Arabidopsis thaliana: one gene and its partners. The protein of the gene in region 3 interacts with the protein of the main gene of each other region in a biochemical or structural test. Each region holds a gene or a part of one and is shown on either strand. Other genes may lie near its edges. The genes, in order: COP1, PKS1, PHYA and PP5.2.

Region 1 (7,945 bases), on a different chromosome or scaffold from region 3:
AAATGTTTGGCCATGTGATTTAAACTTCACAAAGCATGCATGATTTTATATAGACATCATGCCATCCCTAGTTGCGTATCCAAATTTAAAAGGGTTACTCTTATAGTATTGATACGACCAATTTATGAAAATGTGTCACACAATCACTTTGTTATGAGTTAATTTAGAGGTGTTAAGTAATTGTATATAATTTCACTTATGACACAAATTCGTCAATTCTCATGAATTTTACATTATAAAATGATTTTTTTTTTTCAATGATCTTGCTACATGAACATACTAATGACTTATTGCATGGGTCGGACCTTTTGTATAAGCCAAGGTTTGACTTTTCATGACCGATTCACATCACCGCATTTTGATTCTAACATTTAATTATATAAAGTAGAAGCTAAGAAACCGTAAGACATATCTACATCACTGATACAAATTCTTCTTGAGGAGTGTTCCAAGGCAAGCATAATAATACAAAGTTGCTTTCCAAATGATGAACCCTACTTTTAATAAATTGTTCTCTCTCTATATGTAACTCCCACTAAAGAACATAGACGGCAAATTTGTTTTTATTGATTCACGAAGCTATAAGATCTTTTGTAATGTCTACTAGAATCACGCAGCGAGTACCAGAACTTTGATGGTTCCTTGACTATTCGCAGTCAACATCGTGGGACTATCACTCTTCCAGCAAACCGCACTAATAAAGTAGGAACCTGCCTCTTCCTCTGCATCGTCCATGTCTGGCGATCCAAATCTGTGCGATGTCACGGGTCTCGTGATTTCCTGCATCGCATCATTCACATTTTAAAATACTTGAGCAACGACAGGTTGAAAATCTGTGAATCATGAATGAAAAATGCTAAAGTTGAGAGCAGAGGTTTCGGATTTGTGAACCTTGTGATATACATATACTTCGTTTGTCTCGCTTCCACAGGCGAGATACTCGCTGTTCACTGTGAGACCCACAAAGTTCTTCTCGTTAGTATGTCCTCTGAATGTTCGAACCTGAAAAGTAAAATTGAACAACATAGTCAAGACAAGTTTTTCTTTTTGACTGAATCTGCAAGATTGGCTCGGGCAGTAATCTAACTGGCAAGTTGTCTTTGACATCCCATAAGCGTAGTGTGCTATCTGTGGACGCAGAAGCGAGCTCGTTGTTGGACAAAAATTTAACATAGGAAACTGCTTTCTTGTGTCCACTGAAGACATGAAGTGGTTGGCTTATGTTTCTTAGATCGTAATAATGGATGTGATGATCAGCTGATCCGACCTGTGATAAGTCAACAGGCTTAAACGTCTAAGTCTCTCTATCTAATTAAAGATTATATCTAGAGACGTGTGATAGTGTCATGCTGATCATGAGTGGTAGCGAATAAATGTGAGATGCAAAGTTGAGGCGTGGAAGTATATACCGCAATGTAGTTGCTTGAGCCAGGATTGTACTTGACACAACATATGTTTGCTTTCATATCAATATTAATCACACTTGCTTCCTGCCTCGTGCACCAAACTTTAACCTGGATCAAACACACAGCACAATTGGTTAATCTATGAGACATGATTTAACAGATGCAATAATGCATGGTTGAGGATTAACTAGTAGTGAATTGACTTAAAAGGAGCCCACTGGTATAATATGCTTTTGTCAGAATTAGAAATCCAGTGAATTTTTCAATAACGTTTAATTAAATTTGGACAAATGAAGCTACAAAATTTCAAGGTAAAATCTACTATATACAAGTGTCCAGTTTCGTTTGTTTCCTAATGTATAGCCACCACAGATACACTAAGGGGAAAATTTTGCTGAAAATTTAAGAAACCAACAAACATTCAATGTAGGAAGGGCTACATATGACCAATCCCCAAGTTGGGAAGAACAACTCAAAGAAAAGTTTAAGAAGTAGTAGAAAAGATTCATGAGAACACAATGTACTAATGAGCAAGTAGGAGATTCTCCAGTTTTGTTTCACAATATGTCTCTTTAGTTCGTCGTAGAAATTAGACAAATCCGTGACCAAGTTAGTTATAAGAGCTAGGAGATATCTAAAAGTAGTATTCTTTTTATATGAGACATAGCCCAATGTGAGATGAAAGGTGATAACGGAAAATATGGAGATATTTACCTTGCAGTCGTCACTACCAGATACAAGCATTGATGGTTCTGTTCGTGAAAAGTCAACACTCCAGGCACGTTTTTCGTGCTCTTCATACTCCATAAGACTCTGCCTCAGTTTACATAAAAATTCAAATACGCTGCAGAATTCATGAGATGAATATCTTATAGGTGCGATGTTAGATACTTTGGGTAAAGTACTCACCTGCCTAGTAGTTACATCCCACACTGTTACTATTCCTTCATAATCACTGCTTGCTATGTGATTTTTTTCATGCTTATTCCAACTCAAGCAACTAAGTTTAGACCGAGTTGACATCTCCACAATCGGACACTGCATATCTGCTGGTTCATTTACAACCTGAAAAGTAGCAGCCGATAATCAATCAGTTCAGCGTGGTCCATTGGATAAAACAGAAAATTAAAACCAAAAATTTGATTAGCTTTGATTTATATTCTTCTACGCAATACAAAAGTGTAAAATGGCTATCTTGCATCAAAGCTAGAATTTCCCAAGAGCATAACTTAGTTTCATTATCAACGAAGCTTTCTTAGAATTGAGATGCATGATCAGTTTCACAAAAGCATAAGGTTGGACAAGAAGATTCAATTGGTATGTAATTGAATGCACTCCAAGATTTATGAACGTACCGAAGAGAAGTCAAAAACCTTTATACATCTAGAAACACCAGCAGTGGCAAACAGCTCATCATCACGATCAAACTCTATGCTGAAAAGGAACAGCACCCTCTTCATCAGCAAAATCAGTAAGATGGTACATCAAATTACAGGTAAACTAGAGGTCCAGGCAAAGCATAAAGCATGTAAACTATGGAAGACCATAAACCAAAGCACATAGAGAGAAAAAGATATGAGCCCCGGAGCTCCCAGACCATAAACTAAAAATATATATCTTTCGTCTCTTCATTGAGAAGAGACACTTTCATATAAAAGATCGCAAACCGATTCTATATATTCCGACATGGATAAGGATAACATAGTGTTCCATCTTTTAGAAAATTCTCCTCAAGTGGCCTGCTGACTACACAACCTTCTCCCTACCATGTCAGCAGTTTTATCTTCATACTATTCACTGGCTTAGAATTACACAGCAACGAATCCCATAGTAATAATTGCGTCTATCAATACATTAAACAAAACTTAATCACTTAAGGGTCTATTTTGATATATTCGGAGACATTCTTTTGGTACCTATCATCTGTTATCTGATCAACGAACAAGGAATAGAAAATTCACCTTGATACAATGTTGGCTGAATGAAATATATCCCCATGCCGGATTTCTGCTATAACTCTTAGACGACTGTGAATAAAGAGTGCAATTAAAACCCCAACTAATTCGAAAACACTCTTTATGTACGGCTAGACCGATTGAAAAGGGATAGTCACTCCTCTACCTGTAGCGAGTGAAGGTAGTCAACACAGATTGAAAATCTGCAAGGCCGTTGCTATAGCCTTCCCTCCGTACTACACTCTTATCATTTTCTTGTTTACTATTTGGTTGGTCTGCCAACTGACGCCGCTTTTGGAGGTAACATTCTTGTAAATCATTGAACTACAAGACAAGACACTTTAACAGAATTAGGCAATCTGTGCATATATCAACAAGCAGTTACAGAGAGATTAAAGGACCATGCAGGTTTTTTCAAGAAAACTACTATAATTGTGATTGCATAGTATTCACAGAACTGTTAGTGTGTCTAGAGAACATAGTGACTTTTTGTTGCTATAGTACCAGAGAGACAAGAAGCGGCTACTATCACTAAGCAGTAGATATAAAGTCCAGAAAGCTATTTCTACTTTTACGTGCAAACAATACGAAATCAATCTCTCTGAAGTCCAATCGGCTTTTTATAAAGACCACCAAAAATGTGGGCCTTAATCTAAGGTATCTTTTCCGTAAGAAGATTCATCCTCTACCCACAACCACTTTCAATTTCTCGAGCTGTCAATCCAGATGACCAAGAGCTGAGTAGCTAGGCATGGTAGTAACTGTAACACAATCACTGGGGCCTAATTGTAGTAATTATTCTTATTCTTTAATAGACAAATATCTTAAACTTTAATGCCATTGTCCTTTTACCATTTCAGCATAAAGATGTTGAGTAGACAAGGAGGAACAAACCTGAGCATGAATCCGTTTCTTTCTAGCCATTGAGACAGTTGACTGATTCAAACTTTGCGAATCTGACCCACTCAGCGCATCCTTCTTTGGTAGCCCATGAGAGCTTCCTTGTGCCTTCCCCTCTACCTTTTTGTTTTGATAATTGCCTACAAAATTTCCTCCTCTTATGCTGAGAGAATTGGAGTTGAAACCAATCTGGTTCTTCTCATGTGGCCATGCATTTCTTGTGCTTGGATCATCTCCGAGCATCCGCAACTTTACAGAATATCTGTCCCTAGCTCGGTATAAATCTATTCTATGTCTCTCAACGGCATTTATATCTTCTTTAATATACTGGAGATCAGTTTGCACCTACATTAAGATAGAGAAGACATAAATGACAGAATTCTATAATATTCTGAGATCTCATCTAACATTCAGGGGTTATACGTCTCATGAATAGTTGGATAGATCATACATCTATTGATAGAAACATGGTTTATGGCTTTCTTTTACAACAACTATACAGTCTAAACCCAGTGAAGATTTTGAAGCAAATGGAATGAAGAGCAACGAGAATAATTATCAATAGGTAGCCCAATGCTACTCCATAATTCAGACAAACCAACCTCATTTAGTTCATCAACTTTTTGCTTCCTTAGACAATGCAAAAAGTCCAAAAGTATCTGCATGTTCCTCTCAGCTTCTTCCTGTTCCATTTTTCTCTTCCTTTCCGCAAGAAGTGTCAGAAGATTATCAACCTCCTTAATTGACACATCACAACCCTGTCTAAGTATGAACGCAGGAAGTCAATATTTGATCAAAAGAAATGACTTAGAATTGCTTTTTACTCCAATAATAATTCTGAGAAAGCAAACTTAAAGAGGAAAAAATGAAACATAAAAAGCTTGTTAAGAACCGACCCTTTGTAGTGCTTCCCGAAACTGATCCAAGGGCGATGCAGTTTTTGACACATGCCGAGCTGAAGTTTTCTTCAATAGCTACACAATTGATACATAAACGTCATATAATAAGCTGCATTCCAGTGATAAATAGTTTCAATACACTATCATTCCTATAAACATGCTTCTATTTAGCTGTAATAAGCAGAATCCTACCACAATACTACACATCAAAAACAAAACAAAACCTTCCTAAGAAAATCTAATGGCAAGGTTCATTGGAATCGATTAAAGACTAAGCTAGCTTACTTGTTTCCACAAAAACCACGACAAAAACCAAACTTGATTACAAGCTAAGACTCAAACAAGCAACACCCGAACTTGAACTGAAAAGCTAAGGACCAAACACAAATTACGAGTAAAATTAGAAAAAGAAACCTTATCGAGCAAGAAATTAGGGTAAAGCTGATTATTGGTGAGGTGTTGGCTACAACAGGGACAATCACTCTTGTTCCTAAGATGTGTGATGATACACATATAGCAGAAACTATGACCACAAGCCGTGAGGAAAGCATCTTTAATAATCTGCATACAAATCGGACAAAGCAAGTCTTTATCCAGATCCGGTGCTCCAATCTCAGAACCGCCGCTTCCTCCGTCGTCATTTTCATGACGATTAGCACCTTCACCAACTGAAGATGTTCTCGGGTCAGGTTTCACCGCTGGAACAACCGGATCCGTCGAAATCTCTTCCATTTTGCTTTCAAAAGATTTCTTCGATTGTGATTTTGGTTTTTGAGAAAATCGGAATTGTGAGAAAAGAGTGGTTTGGGTATGACGTCGGAGATGAAGGAGGAGTGAGGCTGAGGTGTGGTGGGATCCACCGTGGTTCTTTTCTGAGGTGACAAATCCTACACGTTCTGGTCTACGCGCTTCTTTTCGCGCGTGTGTCTGGCGTTTCTCCAAGCGCTGGTACGGTTTAATTATCCGGCTTCTAATTTATAGTCCGGTTCAATGAAATTTCTTACAATTACCACGACGGTCTAATTTAATTTCTTACAACCATTCATTTTATTTCTTACTATTTGAAATGAATAAGTTGGGAATTTCAATCCATTCAACCGGAGCATAACCCTAGAAATAGAATAAGTTTTGAAGGATTCGGTTTAATAATTTTGGAATAAACCATTTTTATTTCAGTTCTTAAATTTTGTTACTGTAAAAAATGACTGAAAAGTGAAATATATTTTAATTTTCCCATCACTGGAAACGTTCCCTCCATTCTTTTGCTTGTCTGGGAAACCCAAAGAGACTGTGACGGAGAAGAGAAATGAGCTAAATAAATTCCTCTCTTTGATTCACCGGAACCCTAGAAATCCTCTTCTTAATTCTTTCAAAGGTGCGCTGTTTTCACTAGATATCGCTGTTGTAATTGTTGTTGATTCGGAGCTAGGTTTTGTTTTTGTCTCTCTTTCGGAGAATTTGCATGAAGCTAGGATTTGTCTGTTGATAGTTGTATGGTTTTGGCTGCGTTGTTTCTCTCTTGAAAGTCTTGTTATGCTACTGTATGACACACTCGAATGAGTTTTTGTTTGTGTAATGTTTCTCAATTTTGAAGGCGACCAACAGTTAAAGGTGCCATTTTTTTTCCAGATTAAGTTTGTTCCTCATCTGAAATTTATACCATTTCTCGCGATTTAGCAGGATATGCCCAGAAATTAAAATCTTAGAACGACAATGGTGGTAAAGTTTTTAGCTTTTTACCTTTTGGAGTTGTCTTCTTAATTTGGTGTTTTTCTTTTCTTTCTTAGTCTCCTGAGCATTGTGTTTTGGACTGGTTTTTGCACACTGTAACCAACCTCCACTTTTCTCTCTTGCAGATTATTTTCCCCTGGAAGGATGGAGACATCTTCATCTCTGCCACTGTCACCCATAAGTATAGAACCAGAACAGCCCAGCCATCGAGATTATGACATCACAACTAGACGTGGGGTTGGAACCACAGGCAACCCAATAGAATTGTGCACCAATCACTTTAATGTTTCTGTGAGACAGCCGGATGTAGTATTTTACCAGTACACTGTAAGATTCATTAGTCACTTTTCTGCATTCTTTCATCAGTGTCTGTGCGTGTGTGAGATGTTTGACATATCGGTACCTTTTTTGCAGGTTAGTATCACCACAGAAAACGGTGATGCTGTTGATGGGACAGGAATAAGCAGAAAGCTTATGGACCAACTATTCAAGACTTACTCTTCTGATCTTGATGGTAAAAGGTTGGCATATGATGGAGAGAAGACTTTATATACTGTTGGTCCTCTACCACAGAACGAATTTGACTTTCTAGTCATCGTGGAAGGGTCATTTTCAAAACGGTATGTCCCTCTTATCTGGATTGATATTTAATCGTTTCAAGGTGTCAAGATAGATCTTGTTGATCTTCTAACTAACGCAGTCTTGTTAAGTTTATAGTGATTGTGGTGTCTCTGATGGTGGTAGTTCTTCCGGTACTTGCAAGCGATCAAAACGTTCTTTCTTGCCAAGAAGTTACAAGGTTCAGATACATTATGCTGCAGAAATACCGTTGAAGACTGTTCTTGGCACTCAGAGAGGAGCTTATACACCAGATAAGAGTGCTCAGGATGCACTTAGAGTGCTTGACATTGTACTGAGGCAGCAAGCAGCTGAAAGGTAAATCTTTCTATCTGTTTGCTTTTGTGCAGTTTATATTTTTATTAAAATAGATACTCTACGTTCTAATGGACCAATTTTTATTATCATATTTTCACTTTGTTGGTGAAATTTAATC
Region 2 (4,696 bases), on a different chromosome or scaffold from region 3:
GAAACAAACACGTATGCTGTGGGATCAATTCGAACCATTCATACGTGATACGTCGACTATAGCAACTAATAAGCATATTTTATTAACTACATTACACAATATTCTTGATTGACAGATACATAGATTTTATGTTTGAATTAATTAATCTTTCGTTATGTTATATTTAACAAAAACAATACACATTATTTGATATGTATTATATGACAAGATACGATTCCATGAATTTTCTAATATACATTACACATAAATTATAGAGCGTACGTCAAATCATAACATAAAATATTACTATATTTAACAAAACCCAACTCGATGGTCTTTGTCAATATCTCCCCATGCAACAAAATACGTACATCCCTCGTGCTTTCTAAGTTTCTATTTTTGTATTTTTGTTCCTCAAGTGAAATCCATATCCACTACTTTTCTAGTTGAAAAAAGTTAGAAGTTAAAATACAAGTAAATCCAGATTCACTTGTCAGCTCAATCCTAACATGTCTTTGAAAATGTGTGTCCGAAAACTTGTCAGCCCATTATTAAGTATGTGAAACAATACTTTAATTTGAAGTAATTAAGAAAAACAATACATTAAATCTACTTTTTTTCTCATGTAAAACTCTTTGACACCATTGGTAAAATCCAATCATTTATCTTCCGATCTTATTGACGATGTCATTAATTTGTTAATTGTATGATGGTTAATAAGTTTATCCAATGTATGTTTTTGTTTAATTTATTTATCCAATGTATTATTTTATTTTAACATACAATGCTAATCAAAATTTTAGTTTAAGTAATTAAGAGAGTCCTTTAAGAATAATAAAAAAATGTTGGTTTATAACAGAGAGTCCTTTAAGAATAATAAAAAAATGTTGGTTTATAACAGAGAGTCCTCAATGCAAATCAGATTGTTTTAAACCTGCACACAATCCAACAAAATCATCTCTTCTTGCTAAAGCTAATCATCTCAATTATCTCACAAGGTTCAACAATCGTATGAATGTGAAGTATATAGCCATACACCCCCATCTGTAATTAACGTGTCCGAACGGATTGTACATTAGAGCACCTCCAATGTATAGGATTCATATAGTTTCTAAAAAAACAAAAAGTATTAATATTTTATTTTTATATCCAAAAAACAAAAAAAAACAACCTATATGAATAATAGAAACGATCCTCCCAATTTTAGAGATTCTCTCTCATCTCTTTTTTAATTTATAATTTTTTTTTGTAATTGTATGAGTTTCTACTAAAAAACTACGGTTGGAGTTGGTTTTAGTTGCTACAAATATAGTAGCAAATGTGTTTTAAATCGGAATCTTAAAAACGTATAGTAGTGCTAAACGTCTACGTACAAAATACGAATATTGAACGTATAAAAAAAAACACTTTCTGAAATCTGCAGGTTAGAAAATTATTTAAGAGATCCAGTTGCAATGTGAGTAGTATACTAGTACTGTTGTATTAATAAGTCCTAATCGAATTAAGACCATATCATTATAATTCCTTTCTTTTGTGGTCACGGGGGTAACATTATTTTTCGATTATTCTCCATTGATTGGCAAAGATTCATTATCCAAATATATAAATAAATCAGTTCACACACACAACAACTGGCCAATGACTCAAACTGGAACCCACTCACATTGATCAGATCATAACACTTTTAGCTTCAGAAAAAAAAAAAAAAACAGCTATCAAACATATCGTCTTGTTACTCTATTTATACCCTAATTCCACATATCTACACACAAGCAATAAAGAGAGAAAAAAATATAAAGCTACCAAAGAGAAAATGGTGACACTAACACCATCTTCTGCTAGTACCCCAAAAACATCTTTTGATTTCATGAAGAATAACAACAGTCACAGCAGTCTCTATGTTTCTTCTTCTTCTTACTTGAGCAGCAAGGAAGATGCTCTTGTCACGACCAAGAAGCTCATGGAACCAAGCAAAACACTAAACATGAGCATTAATCCAAAACAAGAGGAGTTTGGTGATGAGAAGAAAATGGTGAAGAAAGCTCCTGAAGATCCAGAGATTGGTGTGTTTGGAGCTGAGAAGTACTTCAATGGAGACATGGATTCAGACCAAGGTTCTAGTGTTCTGTCTCTGACAAACCCAGAAGTTGAGAGAACCGTCGTCGACTCGAAGCAGAGCGCGAAGAAATCTACTGGTACTCCGAGTGTCCGGTCTGAATCAAGCTGGAATAGTCAGAGCGTGTTGCTTCAGAACAAACTGGTGAATAGCTGCAACAGTTCCTTCAAGGAAAAGAAGAACAGTAATGGTCAGATTCAAAAGGTGACCAATAATAAGAAGAGTTTTCTCGCAAATTTGGGGTGTAAATGCGCATGCTCTGATGGGGATTCTGTAGATGTCGAGGAGAAAACCTCGGTCAAGAGAAGCGCTGATCCGAATATCTCTGTTATCACAATGAGATCTTCTGCGGATATGAACACAGAACTGATCAAGATTCAGAAGCAAGAGGAGTTATCACAGAGGAAGTCTCTTGAAGTTTTTGGATCTCCAGTGGCTATTGAGAAGAAGAGTAGTGTTGTTCAGAAGAAACTACCATTGCCTCCATGGAAATCGAGAACAGAGGAGGACGACACAAAGAGTGAAGGGAGTGATTCAAGCTCGGATCTTTTCGAGATAGAGGGTCTTACAGGGAACCCTAAACCTTTTCTTACGAGGCAAGGAAGTGATCCAGCTTCACCTACGTGTTATGCGCCAAGTGAAGTAAGCGTAGAGTGGAGCATAGTGACAGCAAGTGCAGCAGATTTCTCTGTTATGTCAGAATGTGCAACAAGTCCTGTAAGAAGAAACCGACCTACTCAGATTCCTCGAATCCCTATTACCGCTAAATCAGCACCGCAGAGACGGAAATCGAGTAGCAGCAGCGGAGGGAATGGTTTCTTGATGAGCTGCAAGAGTCATAAATCTGTTATGGTTTCTGGTGATTTAGACAGAAGAAGCAGCATGAACAAGACACAACCGAGTTACGTTCCTAGATTCCCAATGGAGACTACTAAACCTAAGAGTTTCGAAACACGAAGAAGGATCAGCAACAGCTCGATTTCTCACACACAATCATCTCTTCTTTATAGTCAGTGATTGCAAGAAAGTAAAAGAAAAAGATTTCAATCTCTGATCTCTCTTTATCTATAATTTCTACTGAGTGAGAAAGATATGTAAACTTATAATAATGTCTTGTTGAGTCCATGATCAAATCAATTTAAAAGGGTTTCTTAGAGACCTTTTGCACCTAAGAAAAAGTTACTCAAAGAGTGACAAATGATTGGAGAGTGAAAACAAAACATTATGGTCAGTTAAAAACACAGATCTCAAATTCAGCAAAATAAGCAGAGAGACATTCCAAAAATTGGCTCCACCAAGTTTTACCTTTTTTGGATTTAGTCTCAAGACTCAAGAGAGAGAGATATGAGTTTTGTCTTAGCTTGAAAGGGTTAAATCAAACGTACACTAGATTGACAGAAAGAGCTATTAATGAGGAAACTTAAATCAATGAAAGTGTCATATTACCTAACATATCTAAGATCTGGTCCTGAAACTCATCTAAAGGCCATGTATATGTCTGAAATAAAAGTAAGGTAGACAAAACCTTAATTGCTAGTTGACAATATGAGAGAAAAGAACCAAAGTGCCTTACTAAGACAATAAATGCAAAGAAAGATCAAAGATGTTTGTCTCTGTAGCCTACTCATAAGGGAAATGATCGAATTTACCCCAAATGATCTTATCCAGTTCACTGATATTTCTCTGTAAGATATTTCAAAAAGGGCTAATTAGATTTCAAGAAAAGACATAAATGAAACCAAGATGATGACATCAAAGCTAGTATAGCTAGTATGGGCTTAAAACCAAGAAACATACAGATCTTGAAGATAAGTATTGTACCCTTCTCAAAAGATATGAGAAAATAATTGACCACACTATATATAAAAATCTAATCATCTAACTACTTAGTTTTCATATGTGGATGAGAGAAGAACAACAAAAGCAAGAAGACATTTTGTGTTAAGAAAGCAAAACAAGATTACTCATCTTTGAATTCTTTGGTTGGACATTGCCTCAAAGCATCCGCTTGCTCTCTTTCGTCAAGTGAATAAAGGCAAGTTGGTAATGAGATGAGACTCTGATCCCACATGACAAAAAATGGCTGAGAGAAGTTTCTATTTAATTCCATAGAGTTTGTGGTGAAACATTCACTGTCTTGATGTGAAAGGGGTTCGTTCCTCAGGAGCCCACCAAGAGAAGGAGAAGAGTCTTGTGTGGTCGTTTGCTGCATCTCCATTACTTCATGTTACCAAAAGAATACAAAAAAACCCCAAACATAGGTTCAGGAACAGATGATGATTATAGAAATAACAATCTTATATTATCTGACAACAAAGTGGTAACAGTACATCAAAACTAGGATTCTTGACTGTCTCTAGCTATGTGTCAGTTCCTAATATCTTCCACAGAGAGAAGGAAATAATGATCATATGCCAACATAAAGAAAATCAAATCTTTTTAAAGCACCCCTAAGTGTATCATAACATGAGAAAAATAAACCTTTAAAGGAAAGATCACTCGATTTTCACAAAGATAACAATCACAGTGCTCTGCCTCTGATTACCAAGTAACGTTTAATGTTCAATTGCCCCGAGTGAAACCATTACCAGTTATTTCAAG
Region 3 (7,043 bases):
ATCTTTTTATCTTCTTTGATTTGTCTTCTGTAATAAAAAAGGAACAATAACTGATGATCTTCAGTGTGCATTTGAGCTCCATAGTCTCATGTATTCGTCTTCTTGTATAATCCATATTATTTTTTGTTCAAAGTTGACTAAAGACAGGTAAGAAGTCGAGGTTGATCTAATCTAAAAGCTTTCAAAACAGGTAAGCTAATTTATCTGACTTTTCAGATAAAATAATCAACTTGAGAGACTCTTAACGTATGGGTCTAATAAAACTGATTACTTAATTAACATGATAACTTATTTTTTACTTCACACACCATGTGCTTCTTCTAACAGAAAACTAAGTGTACTTCATATGGCCAGCTAATAGATCTCTGTTAAGTTCGAAGAACTATGTTTGCTTCTTCATGGAGTTGAGCCAAAGCTAATTGTTTGAAACCAAGACTTCTTGCAACATAGTCACGAATCATGCATTACCTCTAATACCTTAAAAGAAGGAGATTATATGAAACTAGATAGAATATTTGTTTGAGTTTCTGCCATTATGATAAACCATGGACCGTAAACATTAGCTCATTTCTCCTATATTACTTATTTTGAATGATACATCATGAAACCAAAACACTCAGGAGGAGATTAGATATGCATCCATATTTACAGCTTCAGAAAAGAGTTCAACAGAAGATGTAAATGGATGGATATTTCATCGTTACTGAAATTTGAAAACGAAAACAAAAGCGATAAGGAAAGTTACAAGCAAAGAACAACCAGTGACTATTTTATATCAAGCCAGACCCCTTTTCTTTTGGGGACTACTTGTTTGCTGCAGCGAGTTCCGCAGTGATAATGAAACTTGATTTCCCAGCTTGTCTCAAGTACTGAACATCTCCATTCATCAGCTTCACCAGTTTCCGGCTAACCATTAAGCTCAATCCTTCTTCTGACACATCTTCCTCAGTCCCAAACATTTGGTTTAGTAAAAACTCAGGTATCCCAGCTCCGGTATGCGTTAACCTGTTTTCATAATCCCAATATCCTCAATGCACTGTTTTTAACATCATATTATGCATTCTGATTATGAATATATCTATTTTACCTGATCTCTAGATTAGCAAGATGCACAGAACGCCCGAGCTGATCCTTCCTCAGGGAAGCTGAAACAGTTAGCTGACCTCCGGATGGTGTAAAGTTTACAGCCATCAGCATGAAATCTGCCAAGACTTGTTGAAGCCTAATACTGTCTCCATACAAAGTGTCAGACATTACTTCTTCTCCGGTCTCATTTGTTATCCGAACACTCTTTCCGTTACTCTTCATCATTACTTGACTTGTGGAAGCAGTCAACACTTCATTTAAGGTGAATTCTTTCATTTCCAAATCCAAGCATCTGCACAGTCAAATTCCAACATAAGAACACAGATAAACCATATTTTAAATGGACTTTCATTCTAGCATACCCTTCAATGATGCTTTCAAGATCCGAATCATCGAGGATCTTGCTTAGTTGCTTCTGACATAACGCGCTAGTTTGCAAAATCCGTCTTTGCTCTGGTCCTAATTCAGTACCCTCTATCATTTTCCTTGTAAACATGATCCCAGATAGCGGATTCCTGATCTGTCTTTTTATGTATGCTAGAGCCTTTAGTCTCTTCACTGCGGTTCGCTCAGCTAAACGTTGAACATGGAGCGCTTGCTGCAGCTCATGGCTGGCAAGTTGCAGGAAACAGAAGACACCTGTCACTACACCTTCCCTGTCCAGTTTCTTACTCACACACAACAGACACTCCACATACTTGCCACCTCTTGTAAAGAAAGCAAACGATACTTTCTCTGGATCTTGACTGGTCACAGCATTGTTCAGCACAATCCCAAGGTTTACAAAGGCTTCTTGATTCTTTAGACGACAACATGACTTCTGCGTCCCAAATACTTCTCCTAAGAGCATTTTGTCAATCACTTCCTCTCGCTTCAAACCGGTTAACTTTGACATTGCTGGATTCCACTCTGTGCACCATCCAAACTCATCGGTACCAAATATTGGCGGGATCAGCGGGTTTGGATTTTGGATGATTGCCTTGTAATCACCTTCAATCCGCGTAAACTTGTCCATCACAGTCTTCTGGCCAGTAAGATCATGGGCTACAAAACACACCCCAACCACGTTTTCATGGAGATCTCTACTTGCGCATGCATTTACAACTAAACTTATTGGCCCAGCATCAGCCCTGGACAGATGTGTCTTGATCTCAAACTGGACATTCTGCTCCTCAGTTCCTGCATAGATAAGCAAGTGAAGTTATAGACTCGGCTTCAGTGTTTGATAAAATTGGAAAACAAAATTCCATCATTAAGAACCAAAAACAACACATTGCATCAAGTTTCTTCGACCACGATACTCAATTGGAACTTGAATAGTGAAATCTAGTTGGAAGATTCTTAGCAAACTCAGCATAACTTAGGAAGAGAGTTTACCTTCTAATGCGTTCTCTAGCATCCTTTTAACGATTTCCACTGAAGAATCTTCAACAAGTGTGAGGAAATGCTTCCCGATTGCTTCATCAACCGAAAGACCAGTCAGCTCAGCAATTTTCGTGTTCCAACCATTAACCAGTCCATCAGAATCAACCGCCAATATTGGCACCGTAGCAGTCTCAATTAAACGAACCATCTCACTGGTCACAGCTTCTAGTTCTTGTATACCATCAATTTTGAGATCATTTAGCTTCGAGTAAATGACCTTTGTATTCACATCAGTAGTTTCACTATCCTTGAAAGCATTCCTCAAAATAAGTTGCAAGGAGTGTATGGCATCCATCTCATAGTCCTTCCAAGGTAAACTCCTTGTCTTGACCACTTCAAGGAAAGCCTTGAACGATGACCTTGGGTGCATTCTCCTTGCATCATCCCTATCATCTGGATCATGCTTCGCACCTCCCCATCTCACTTCACCAGCGGTATGAGAACGGAACCAGAAAATCATGTCTTTCGATGATATCCTCACAGCTGCCATCCCACATACCGAATCCCCGAGAGATAGAGCCCTAGGAAACCCGGCGTCATGCAAACTATCAGTGCTCAAACCCGTTGAATCCATGTGGTATTCACACAACCATGAAGCTATCTCCTGCAGGTGGAACTCACTTGGAGTTGTTCCCAGTTTCCATATCTTGTCTTTATACAAGAGAGCTGCTCCATCACATTTCACAAGGTCCATTATGTTGGGGCTTTGCGACACAATACCCAGTGGAGCATCACGCATCAGCATATCGCACAAGAGTGTCTGCGTGCGCAAAATGTTCTTCTCCACCATCTGGTTATCGAGTTCCACCTCCTTATTGACGTGTATGGCAAACACTTGAGCTAGAAACTCACAGGCATACCTGAGAGGAAATGGAACAAACCTCGGAGTCGTATTGTGACAAACCACTAAACCCCATAGTCTCTTTCTCTTTTGAGGCTGTGTAGTAGCATCAGGAGCATCCCCTTCTCCATCTTCCTCGTTAACTACAACCGCCATAACCAGAGATGCAATTGAATCCATGTTGGCCATGTACTGCAAATGGCAGCTGTGCGGTGCTCTAAGGGTGGAGCCACACAAGGTAAGGTCAAAGGAAAGCTTTTCATCTTGAAGCACCCTAGCATGTTTTGCATTGCAATCAACTATCATCCGGACCTTGTTCTTCATAAACAGAAAACGGGCTGCTTGAGGGATGTCGGTGGCAGGATAATGCAGCCCAAGATAAGGCTCCAGCCCAGGTTTTGTAACCTCGGAGACAACCTCACCGTGATCATCTTCATGAAACTTATAAGCCATCACCCTGTCATACCCCGTGAGTTCAAAAACCTCTTGAACCATTGTATCACAAAGCCTTTCCATACTCCCGCTGGGTAAAGATTGCAGCCTAGTGATTGCTTTGGCAGCGAGCTTGTATGATTGTAAGGCACCAGCAGCTGTCATGGGGACTTCATAAGGCTTCACGGGTTCAAAGTCGATGATGATGCTCCCTGTAACCCTGTGGATAATCGCATAAAAGGGCTTTGCAGAAGTCCTGCAGTGCACAAGAATGGGATTCAAAAGAGAGACATCTCCAAATCCAAGGGCTTTCTGCAATGCAGACGCACTAGGAGCAGTGAAAAGACTCCTTATATCTGTCCCAATGCCTAGAACAGGGTGTTCGCCAACACTAGGAACTGCATGACTGGCCATTGTCAACAGCTCAGATGCATTCTCGCTGTATGCAATAACTTTGAAGGTCTTCTCATCCAAGGCAAGTAAACAACCGAAGGGCTGAATCAGCTTTCCCTTCTGTATATGATGAAGATAAGTCGTGGTAACTTTGTCAGACCTTGGTGGCTGATTCTCCACAACCGGGCCAGTGACACGCACTGAGGTTGAGTAATCAAAGGAGCTGCCTGACTCCTCAAAATCAGCATGGAGTTTCGCATCTACAGTGGTCTGCGCAATGATCCTAGCGCTGTGCCTTGATCGCCTTGAGCCCTCAGAGGACTGAGTCGGCCTAGAGCCTGACATTTTTTTCCTGACACAGAGACAAGACAACAAAAAATAAGTGCAAAACTCTGATAAAAGAGGGAATAAAACATTCATGCCATAATCATATGAACACAAAAACATTCATCACCAGTCATACAAGCGAATGCATAAGCATAAACTTGAAACACTAAGAACCAATTCAGAATTTCAAACACACAGTAAAAAGAGTTATGAACTTGACTAACTCCATCGAGAATACATAGCTAAACCCAGAAACAGGACGCAACAGATGCAGGAATCATCGTGTCATATTCCAAGGTTCAATGATTTATCATTTTCAAAGTAACTGAACCAGTCAGATTCCATGAACACTTCCTTTCTAAGTCATCCTACAATCCAAAATCAACAACATCTTGACTATGAACAAGTCGCACAAATAATAGTTGATAGTTAACAGGGTAAATCCACTACACAAATACTAACAAAACGAGGATCTGAGCTAATATCAGCCTCTCAAGATTCAAACACAGCTACATACATAAAGTAGACTCAATAATAAACTCTTAAGAGTCTTTATAGCTAGCTATACCTTTCAAAAGGAACAATAAAGTCCCCACAGGGAAAGCAATCGTAGGAGTTAAAAGCGATAAAAGGATGAGATTAATTAATTGGATGCTTCTTCTCATAAATGATCACACACTATAAAAAGTTGAGTAAAACAAACACACATCAAGCCAGATCGAAAGAGACCTACAAAACCTTTATATCGCAGAAAACAAGAGGGTATTGATGACAACAGAGGATAGCTTTAAGAAATTAACTTCAAAGTTAGAATCAATTTCAGTAAGAAGAGTGAGACCAGTAGCTAGCTGGTAAGCTCCCAGCAGAAATCAATCGAAGCAAGCTTCAATATATATAGTTAAAAAAAGAAAAAAAAGGAGGAAACTTTGGGAAAAGGAAAGTAGGTACCTTTAAAGAGAAGAAAGAAGAAGAAGAAGTTTCAAGAAGCCATGATCAGATCTTGTGACTAGTCACACTCGTCAGAGGCTTTTTGTTATAGTTAAATTCTAAATCTTGGCCTCGATCACCACCTTCTCTCTTGTGCTACGCCTCTCTATTATTTGTGCTCCCTAACACAGACGACGACGATGAATGGGACCACCCCGAATACGTATGCCCATGTCTCGGAGTATGGGCGATTTGTATATTTTATAATGGAATAAAATAAAAGAAGAAAAAAGCTTAATTTGGATAAAAGACAAACTTCACACACATATCAAGAACAGGGTCGGCTTCGCCGGTAACATTTTCCTCGCTAAAACAGAACAGTGGGCTTAAGATATATCAAGTACTACTACTTGTAAATCTTGGCAACTTTCTGGGGAATATTAATTGATATTTTCACCGATGTGACTAAGACTGTGTAATGAGGAAAAAAGAAGTAAAGTGGAAGAAGAACAAAATGGGGTTGATTCTTATAAATCCGATTGAAGAGAATCGTCCAAAGGATAAGAGATCAAAAGTAAAAAAAAAAAAAAAGATTATTAATAAAATAAAAAAACGAGAAAGAGAGAGAGAAAGAAAGATGGTGGTAGTTGTTTAATGAAGGCAGTAACCAGAAGTAGAAAGTTGGGTTTTGAGGAAGACGACAACGATAGTCTTATGGGCTTCACGTTTTCTCGGCTTTTTGCGTTTTGTAATCTGTTTCTGGGATTTACTTCAAAGTTGGGACTTTCCTTTTTTGTATTTTTTTTTATCGTTGAAAGAAAGTAATAAAATTTGTAAAACTAATTTAAGTTTATTCGAAGAATTTAAATTTGTTTTATTTTTTATATAAAAAGGGTAAAAAAATCGTTATTAAGGTTTTATTTTTTTTTCGTCAAACAAAATCCATATCGTTTTAACATCATTGTCAAACTTCGATTCGTTCTTATCGCAAATCCACGTTACCATGTTTTCTTAGGTATTTTGCTTCTATCCTCTTAAAGTTAAATCTCCCCCTAAGTTTTTTGCAGTAAATCTCCGGAGAAGATCGAATCGACAACGTCTTATCTAGACAGCGCAATTCAGCATAGATATTGTGGCACAGCTATGTTGGACCAAAAATGTGCCTCCATAATGCAAATGTTGTCCTAGCAACACAGTATCATCCATTAGACATAGTCATGGCCCATGTTGCACATATCTGAATTGGCAAAAGGTACTAATCCCATTTCAGGAATAACACTTTGAAGAACAAAACAAATATGAGCTTAGGAGACTTCTTAATGGCCGGCCAAGAACGCTTCAATCACTAGGGATGTGATGGTTTGGAACTTTAAGGCGCCCTTTGAGAGCTATTTCATTTTCACTCTTTTGATATTGAACTCTCAAAACAACTGTTCATTACCATGTGTTTTCTCGGTTTTTAATGTGTGTATTTGTGTGAAACAAGGCCAATAATCTATATACGAAAATAAAGAAAATGGTTCTTTACACCAAAACTTCCGTATTAAAAAGAACATTTAAAATCTGTTATCGTCACTGTAATAAACAATGTCAATGGTTACTTATGTATAAG
Region 4 (6,953 bases), on a different chromosome or scaffold from region 3:
TGCTAAAGACGTTTGAGAAAGTTTCTGTTGAAAGAAGAGTAAAAACTCAAAAAGAAAATGGGTTTCATTATTGCGATTGCAAAACGTTTTGATGCTCTAGTTGGGTAGGATTTTATTCAAATTCTGTCTCATATAATAAAAATAAACACTATATTTGTCAAATTTTTAACATTATTTTCTTCCTTTTTCTTGTTGCATGCAGGCCTGGAGTCATGCTTCTCTATCCTCTGTAAGTGATATCAAATCTGAATTTAAATGTTTGGTTTTTACAAATGCAACTTGATAGTTAACTGAATAAATGATTAGGTATGCATCATTTCGAGCAATAGAGAGTCCAACAATGTTAGATGATCAACAATGGCTTACATATTGGATCATTTACTCTTTAATAACGATATTCGAGCTATCCGTTTGGAGAGTCCTTGCCTGGTAATTACAATATTATTCACTAAATTCTGTTACGAATTCAAAAATTTATGCCTATAAAGACAAAAAAATGGTGTTCTTTTGCATATTGTAGGCTACCATTTTGGCCATACTTGAAGCTTTTGTTCTGTATGTGGTTGGTGCTACCAATGTTCAGTGGTGCAGCTTACATTTACTCCAATTTTGTTAGACAATACGTCAAAATTGGGATGAATGTTGGAGGAGGAACGAATTATACAGACGAACAAAGAAGAGTTTTACAGATGATGAGTCTTGATGCTAGAAAATCGGTTCAAGACTACGTTGACCGGTTTGGATGGGATTCTGTTGAGAAAGCAATCAAAGCGGTATATGATTTCTCTTGTTGATCTTTAATATAGTTATGTATATATAATCCAATACATATATTCTGGGAGTTTAACTTCATTATTTGTGTTCAAATGTAGGCTGAAAAAGAAACTAGAAAGCATTGAGATGGAAGATCAAGAGTCAAGAAAAACATTACTCTTTGGTTTGTACATGTATGTACATAGATTGTATAGAGCAATACTATAATGAAAAAGATATATATGTTTGAAAGATTTATGGTGACAAATTTGTGTTCTAGTACTCTATGACCAAAGATACTATTAGAGAAGCCAGTCCAACTCTTTTTGACAACATACATTTGGATGGGTCTCAATTTGATTAAACAAAACATCAGGACACGATTCGAATTAAAATGAGAATACAACACTCTTTTTGACATAAAAATAAAAATAAAATTCAAGCTCGCGCTATATCACAATTGGTGTTTTGCTAATTTCCTAAATCTAATTTTATTCTAATTTAATTATGTAAAATAATAAAATCACATCTTTGGAAGTTTTTAAATGTAATTCATATAACGACAAAAAAAATGTAATTCATATGACGTAAAAAAAATGTGATTAATTTTGTTAGGGTCATTAATCTATATTCTATACTTTAATACTCTGAGATCCGTGATTATTATTATTTGTCCATCTCTATCCACAAACCATACATAAAAAATTGATATATGACGTCAGAAAAAGATAATACAAGTCTACATATCTCTTCGTCCATTTATTTAATTTAATTGGTAAAGAATTGAGTGCGCAAAATTAATAATTTCCAATTTATCAAAAAAAAACACATTAATAATTTTATTTTTTATTTTGTTCAACTTAAAAAAAGAAAAGAACACACATTAATAATTTCCAAAAACCCCTCTTTTCTCATAGATTGAAGCGTATACTCTAATTTGACCAATCTAATCTAGGGTTTCTAGTCACTTGAAGCTTCTCTTAAAAAACCTGTCTCACTCCTCGTCAACCTCTTCCTCTCCCGCTGTCGCCAAGATTGAATCTTTTTTCAGGTTTGAATCTATCTTTAGAGTAATGAGTTTCTCTGATTTCCCGACAAAACATGTCTTAAACGCTGGCTTCCTTCTGTTGTTGTCCAGTTCTGCTTTCCTCTTATCTGGGTTTTAATAGATCCTTTCACAGAATTTGTTTGTAAGTGATATATTTTTTCCACTTGTCACGGCCACGATTCTGATTATTCTTCTAATTCGTTGTTGAGCTGTTATGAAAACGATGCAGAATTTGAAAGTTCACAACTTTTTGCTTCTTATCTATTCGCTTAATGCTTTTTTATCTGTTATGTTTCGTGTTCTTAGCTGGATTTAGTTATGTGCGTTTTTCAAGTTCATTAATGTGTAGGAATGTTTTTCTGTGTGAATGACTTCTCTTCCTCCTATGTATCTCGTTGCATGACTAAAGTCAGTGGCTGTATTACGAAAAATCTATACTTTATTTAGGTTGAGTATAATTTCAATGTCTAAAGCTCTTAAACTAGCTCCCTGTTAAGTAGAAAACTTATTGATGAGGAATTGGCCAAGTGATTATGATTATTGCTATCGTGCATTTGGGCATGACTGAGATAAAACCTTAACTTTACATATTTTCTGTCAATCAGTTGTGGCTTCACCGGATAATAAGGAATTCAGTAAGAGATAAGTTCATCCTGACAACATGGAGACCAAGAATGAGAATTCTGATGTTTCACGGGCAGAGGAGTTTAAAAGTCAGGCCAACGAAGCTTTTAAAGGTGTGTAATTTATCATAAACCTTTACATAATCTTGTGGCATCAGTTTATTTCAACTCTTTTAGTGAGGTACTCCTATCTTTTTGCTTAATGTTGTTTGTTGCTTACAGGTCACAAATACTCCAGTGCTATTGATCTATATACAAAAGCTATTGAACTCAACAGCAACAACGCTGTGTATTGGGCAAATCGTGCATTTGCTCACACAAAACTGGAGGAATATGGCAGTGCAATACAGGATGCATCGAAGGCCATTGAAGTTGATTCAAGATACTCTAAGGTATCATCCTGTGACAAGATGTTCCTGTTTCTTCGTGTATTCAGCCATATTCACTGATTATCTACTGAATCACAGGGCTATTACAGGCGTGGTGCTGCGTATCTTGCCATGGGAAAATTTAAGGATGCCTTGAAGGACTTCCAACAGGTTAGTGTTTCTTGCACGAGCATTGTGCCATTTAAGTTGTTGTCTCTTTCGTTTATATTTGTTAGCTGCTGATCTGATAGTCCTCTTTCTAGTTTACTCTAAACTTTTTGAGTGAGGATCAGCTCAGTTGAGAAATGTCAAAATACTATAGATGAAATGTTGTAGGCTTGTATAGCTTGAACCCACCCAAATGGTCATAACTTGATTGTTTTGGTCTGATCAAGTGATTAGATCCTGGAAACTTGATAGAGTGATAGTTATCTGTCAAAATCTGGTTTGGTGGTCGACTGTCTTGATCTTTTAAGCAAGACTAGCGTGTATGGTATTGTTGACTTGGTCTGCTATATATATTTTAGGTAAAAAGGCTTTCTCCTAATGACCCTGATGCCACAAGAAAGCTAAAGGAATGTGAGAAAGCAGTGATGAAACTCAAATTTGAAGAAGCAATCTCTGTGCCAGTATCTGAAAGGCGTTCAGTAGCTGAGTCCATTGACTTCCATACAATAGGTATCCTTCATCTGTTTGCTTATTTTTTGGTTGTCTTATAGCTTGCAGTTTGTTGTGTCACCTGGTTCTTTCGTCTCTTGTTATGCCATGCCTTTGATTCAGTAGTTGAAAAATGGTTGAATGTAGCTTTAGACTAGTAATCATTCTTCTACCTATTGTCACATAATAGGGAACAAACCCAGATCATCATCCATGCCCACCAAAACGGCTTTAGCAGCAGTTGTTGCAGCAGTAATGGTGGTGGCGGTCCGGGGATTTGCCACAACTGAGATACTCATGGTGTTGGTTTCGGTGGTATTAGGGACATTTTGGTGGGGTAGCTTCAGTGGTAGTAGTGTCTTTTCTCTGGTTAAACCCTCATCCTAGGATCAATGTGGATTGTTTTCATGCATATCAAAACCTGGATAGTTTCCTTTCTTGGAGTCTCAGTTGAGAATTGACAAAGCTCAATGATATTGATGTCAAAAACATCTCAACAGGAGTGGAACATTTCATAGATTTACTAATATCTCTATTTTTGTTTTGTTATGATAGCATACCTCTTTTACTACATTGTAAAAAATGTGTATCCATGACTTGTAGCTTTTAATATTCATTGATAAATGGTGTTCACTGTTACAGAGTTCTTAACCTTTTGTCAATTTACTTATTCTTTTCAATTTTATTGTAGAGGTTGAGCCACAATATTCTGGTGCTAGAATTGAGGGAGAGGAAGTTACCTTAGATTTTGTGAAAACGATGATGGAGGATTTTAAGAACCAAAAAACATTGCATAAACGGTATGTATTGTTTTGGGGGTACTCAACTTAATTTACACAGTTACCATATGTTCATGCTTTGCGGGCACTTTATATGTAGGTATGCCTATCAAATCGTCTTACAGACTAGGCAAATCTTGCTAGCACTGCCTTCTCTTGTTGATATAAGTGTTCCACATGGCAAACATATCACTGTTTGCGGTGACGTTCATGGTCAGGTATGCTTTGGTTTCACCTACTCTCCGAACATAATATTTTAATGTCTCAAATGAATCTGCGAGGATCCACCATCTCCTGTTCTCTTGTTTATATATGTAGAAGTTTTCAATAAACCGGTTCCCATACTATATTTCTGGAATTGGATTTTATTATGAATCATTCTACTTTTCATATCTTGAATTTATTGGCTAACCTTCTACTCCCTCTTGCACTATTAAGGGCTGTATTGTGTTGTATTGGGTGTATGTTTGACACATTGTTTGCTTTTGCAGTTCTACGATCTTCTCAATATCTTTGAGCTTAATGGCCTCCCTTCGGAGGAGAACCCATACCTATTTAATGGCGACTTTGTGGACAGAGGCTCATTCTCCGTTGAGATCATCCTCACTTTGTTTGCTTTCAAGTGCATGTGCCCATCATGTAAGTTCTCTAAAACTTTGTTGTAATAATTCTTTGATGTTCATGTTTTAATTGCTTTTGCTATCACTGGCAAGGATTAAATTATTTACTATTGTCTGATGGGGTTAAAAGTTTCCATTTTAATTGTAAATCGCCATTTACACACCTTTGTACTGCAGCCATATATCTAGCCAGAGGAAACCATGAAAGCAAGAGCATGAACAAAATTTATGGTTTTGAGGGTGAGGTTCGGTCCAAGTTGAGTGAAAAATTCGTGGATCTCTTTGCTGAAGTTTTCTGTTACCTCCCGTTGGCTCATGTTATAAATGGGAAGGTCTTCGTGGTACATGGAGGTCTTTTCAGTGTTGACGGCGTGAAACTCTCAGACATCAGAGCCATTGACAGATTCTGTGAGCCACCAGAGGAAGGTATGTTTCATCATATACATCTTCTGTAAGATTACTTCTCATGTAATTGTGTTCTGTTTAATCATCTTATCTTGCTAATGGTTTATGCAGGACTAATGTGTGAACTATTGTGGAGTGATCCTCAACCTCTCCCTGGAAGAGGCCCAAGCAAGCGAGGAGTTGGTCTATCATTTGGTGGAGATGTGACAAAGAGGTTTTTGCAAGATAACAATTTAGGTTAGTTCACTGTCTTGTTATTATCGGGGTTTGGTTTCGCAAACTAATATTTACTTGAGATAGCTATTAACTTGCATTTTCATGATTGTGGCAGATTTGTTGGTCCGGTCACATGAAGTAAAAGATGAAGGTTATGAGGTTGAACATGACGGTAAACTCATAACTGTCTTCTCTGCGCCAAATTACTGTGATCAGGTAACTCAGACACTCCTGTCTTCTTATTTCAAAACAGCACCCAGTTACTTGATTCTTTACTTAACATGGACTGGTATTGTTGTAGATGGGTAATAAGGGAGCCTTCATTCGTTTTGAAGCTCCTGATATGAAGCCAAACATTGTTACATTCTCAGCAGTGGTGAGTGTAGTCCTCTTACATAGCATTGTTCTTATGAATGTTTCACAGAAGATAGTTCACGGTTTGATTTAGACTCATTCAAACACTCTTCTAATTTTCTGATATTGTTATTTCCCAGCCTCATCCGGATGTGAAGCCTATGGCATATGCAAACAACTTTCTCAGGATGTTCAACTAACCAGCAAAAAGCTTCTTCTACTCAAAATGCTATTCTAAAGACTCAAGACCAGAAGTGGTTCAGAAACATAATGATATAAGTTTTTTTTTCCCTTTATCTTCTGCAGTTTTTTCATGTTGTTCCAGAAAAGGGAGGCCATGATAATTAAAGGTACAGTATCCGGATTTGATCGTTTTTTTTCTTCTTCCTTCTTTTCTGATAAAGATTTTCACTCTTCCTTTAAGCTTATCCAGCAACTTTTGTCCCTTTTGTCTTATGTTGTAAGAGGGGGTAATGTATCATTCTTATTTTAGATGAAAATCTTGTGATTACTCAACAAAAGAGTGACCAAATGACCCCCCAAAACTTTGTACTTAAAATGGTTTCTTGAATCAAAAATCAAAAGGTGTTTCTTTAAAGCTTCTTGTCTGCTTCTTAGAGTCTTTTTGAATGGAGTTTAATTCAAATATTCAAGCAAAGACAGCAAACAAAAACAGAGAGGTCAATAGTGTTGAGTTCTTGCAACAGTTACTCTCGTGTAGATTCAGTTTTTCCCTTATTTGAGTTTGTACAAATGGTGTGACCTGTTTAAATACAACAGTCTAAAGAAAGTTAATAACACTATTGTTTTCCCCACTCTCTTACATGAGCTGTTTCAGATCAAAATACCTGCAGATTCTCCCATGAATTTTGCAGAGAATTTTGACAAAGTATGTGCTTTTGTTTAGCGATGACAAACCACTACTGAATCACAGAATCATAAACCTTGTTTTAGTCCATGCATGGATAGATAGATAGATACATGTACTAAAATGTGGAGAAAGCAAAAGTAGATGGAGTGGTGTCAAATCGTAAAGCACTGATGAAAGGCCTGAGAGATCGAGAAAGCATTACGTGGATTACATAAAAACAATTTACAAAAATTGTCAGATGTTTAAGGGAAGTAGCTAG

Evidence for each region.
Region 1: the proteins of PHYA (region 3) and COP1 form a complex in vitro, tested with the Arabidopsis thaliana proteins (one study listed by BioGRID).
Region 2: the proteins of PHYA (region 3) and PKS1 form a complex in vitro, tested with the Arabidopsis thaliana proteins (one study listed by BioGRID).
Region 4: the proteins of PHYA (region 3) and PP5.2 form a complex in vitro, tested with the Arabidopsis thaliana proteins (one study listed by BioGRID).

The regions. Positions count from the first base shown.
Region 1 is NC_003071.7:13,975,947-13,983,891, reverse strand, and holds COP1 (Transducin/WD40 repeat-like superfamily protein), read right to left. Parts: upstream 6,012-7,945; 5' UTR 5,893-6,011; coding exon 5,575-5,892; intron 5,236-5,574; coding exon 5,158-5,235; intron 5,024-5,157; coding exon of another isoform or gene 5,020-5,023; coding exon 4,864-5,019; intron 4,607-4,863; coding exon 4,256-4,606; intron 3,686-4,255; coding exon 3,528-3,685; intron 3,434-3,527; coding exon 3,368-3,433; intron 2,841-3,367; coding exon 2,762-2,840; intron 2,472-2,761; coding exon 2,316-2,471; intron 2,220-2,315; coding exon 2,121-2,219; intron 1,515-2,120; coding exon 1,410-1,514; intron 1,268-1,409; coding exon 1,088-1,267; intron 1,003-1,087; coding exon 892-1,002; intron 781-891; coding exon 610-780; 3' UTR 283-609; downstream 1-282. Other genes in the region: AGO6 (Argonaute family protein), read left to right, coding at 7,036-7,218, 7,306-7,511, 7,609-7,827. UniProt on the Arabidopsis thaliana protein: E3 ubiquitin-protein ligase that acts as a repressor of photomorphogenesis and as an activator of etiolation in darkness.
Region 2 is NC_003071.7:853,565-858,260, reverse strand, and holds PKS1 (phytochrome kinase substrate 1), read left to right. Parts: upstream 1-1,535; 5' UTR 1,536-1,792; coding exon 1,793-3,112; 3' UTR 3,113-4,184; downstream 4,185-4,696. UniProt on the Arabidopsis thaliana protein: May be responsible for light-regulated cytoplasmic sequestration of phytochromes or may be a negative regulator of phytochrome B signaling. Component of the network that modulates the very low-fluence response (VLFR) branch of phyA signaling.
Region 3 is NC_003070.9:3,094,695-3,101,737, forward strand, and holds PHYA (phytochrome A), read right to left. Parts: upstream 5,137-7,043; 5' UTR 4,734-5,136; coding exon 4,729-4,733; intron 4,530-4,728; coding exon 2,464-4,529; intron 2,266-2,463; coding exon 1,449-2,265; intron 1,379-1,448; coding exon 1,088-1,378; intron 1,006-1,087; coding exon 804-1,005; 3' UTR 509-803; downstream 1-508. UniProt on the Arabidopsis thaliana protein: Regulatory photoreceptor which exists in two forms that are reversibly interconvertible by light: the Pr form that absorbs maximally in the red region of the spectrum and the Pfr form that absorbs maximally in the far-red region.
Region 4 is NC_003071.7:17,811,406-17,818,358, reverse strand, and holds PP5.2 (protein phosphatase 5.2), read left to right. Parts: upstream 1-1,586; 5' UTR 1,587-1,804; exon of another isoform or gene 1,805-2,209; intron 2,210-2,406; 5' UTR 2,407-2,462; coding exon 2,463-2,538; intron 2,539-2,646; coding exon 2,647-2,816; intron 2,817-2,891; coding exon 2,892-2,963; intron 2,964-3,319; coding exon 3,320-3,470; intron 3,471-3,639; coding exon 3,640-3,801; intron 3,802-4,140; coding exon 4,141-4,249; intron 4,250-4,328; coding exon 4,329-4,446; intron 4,447-4,719; coding exon 4,720-4,867; intron 4,868-5,025; coding exon 5,026-5,274; intron 5,275-5,364; coding exon 5,365-5,490; intron 5,491-5,584; coding exon 5,585-5,685; intron 5,686-5,770; coding exon 5,771-5,845; intron 5,846-5,963; coding exon 5,964-6,023; 3' UTR 6,024-6,424; downstream 6,425-6,953. Other genes in the region: HVA22F (HVA22-like protein F), read left to right, coding at 58-104, 203-229, 307-429, 521-773, 873-899. UniProt on the Arabidopsis thaliana protein: Isoform 2 dephosphorylates phosphorylated phytochromes, with a preference toward Pfr forms, and enhances phytochrome-mediated photoresponses, probably by enhancing their stability and their binding affinity for light signal transducers such as NDPK2.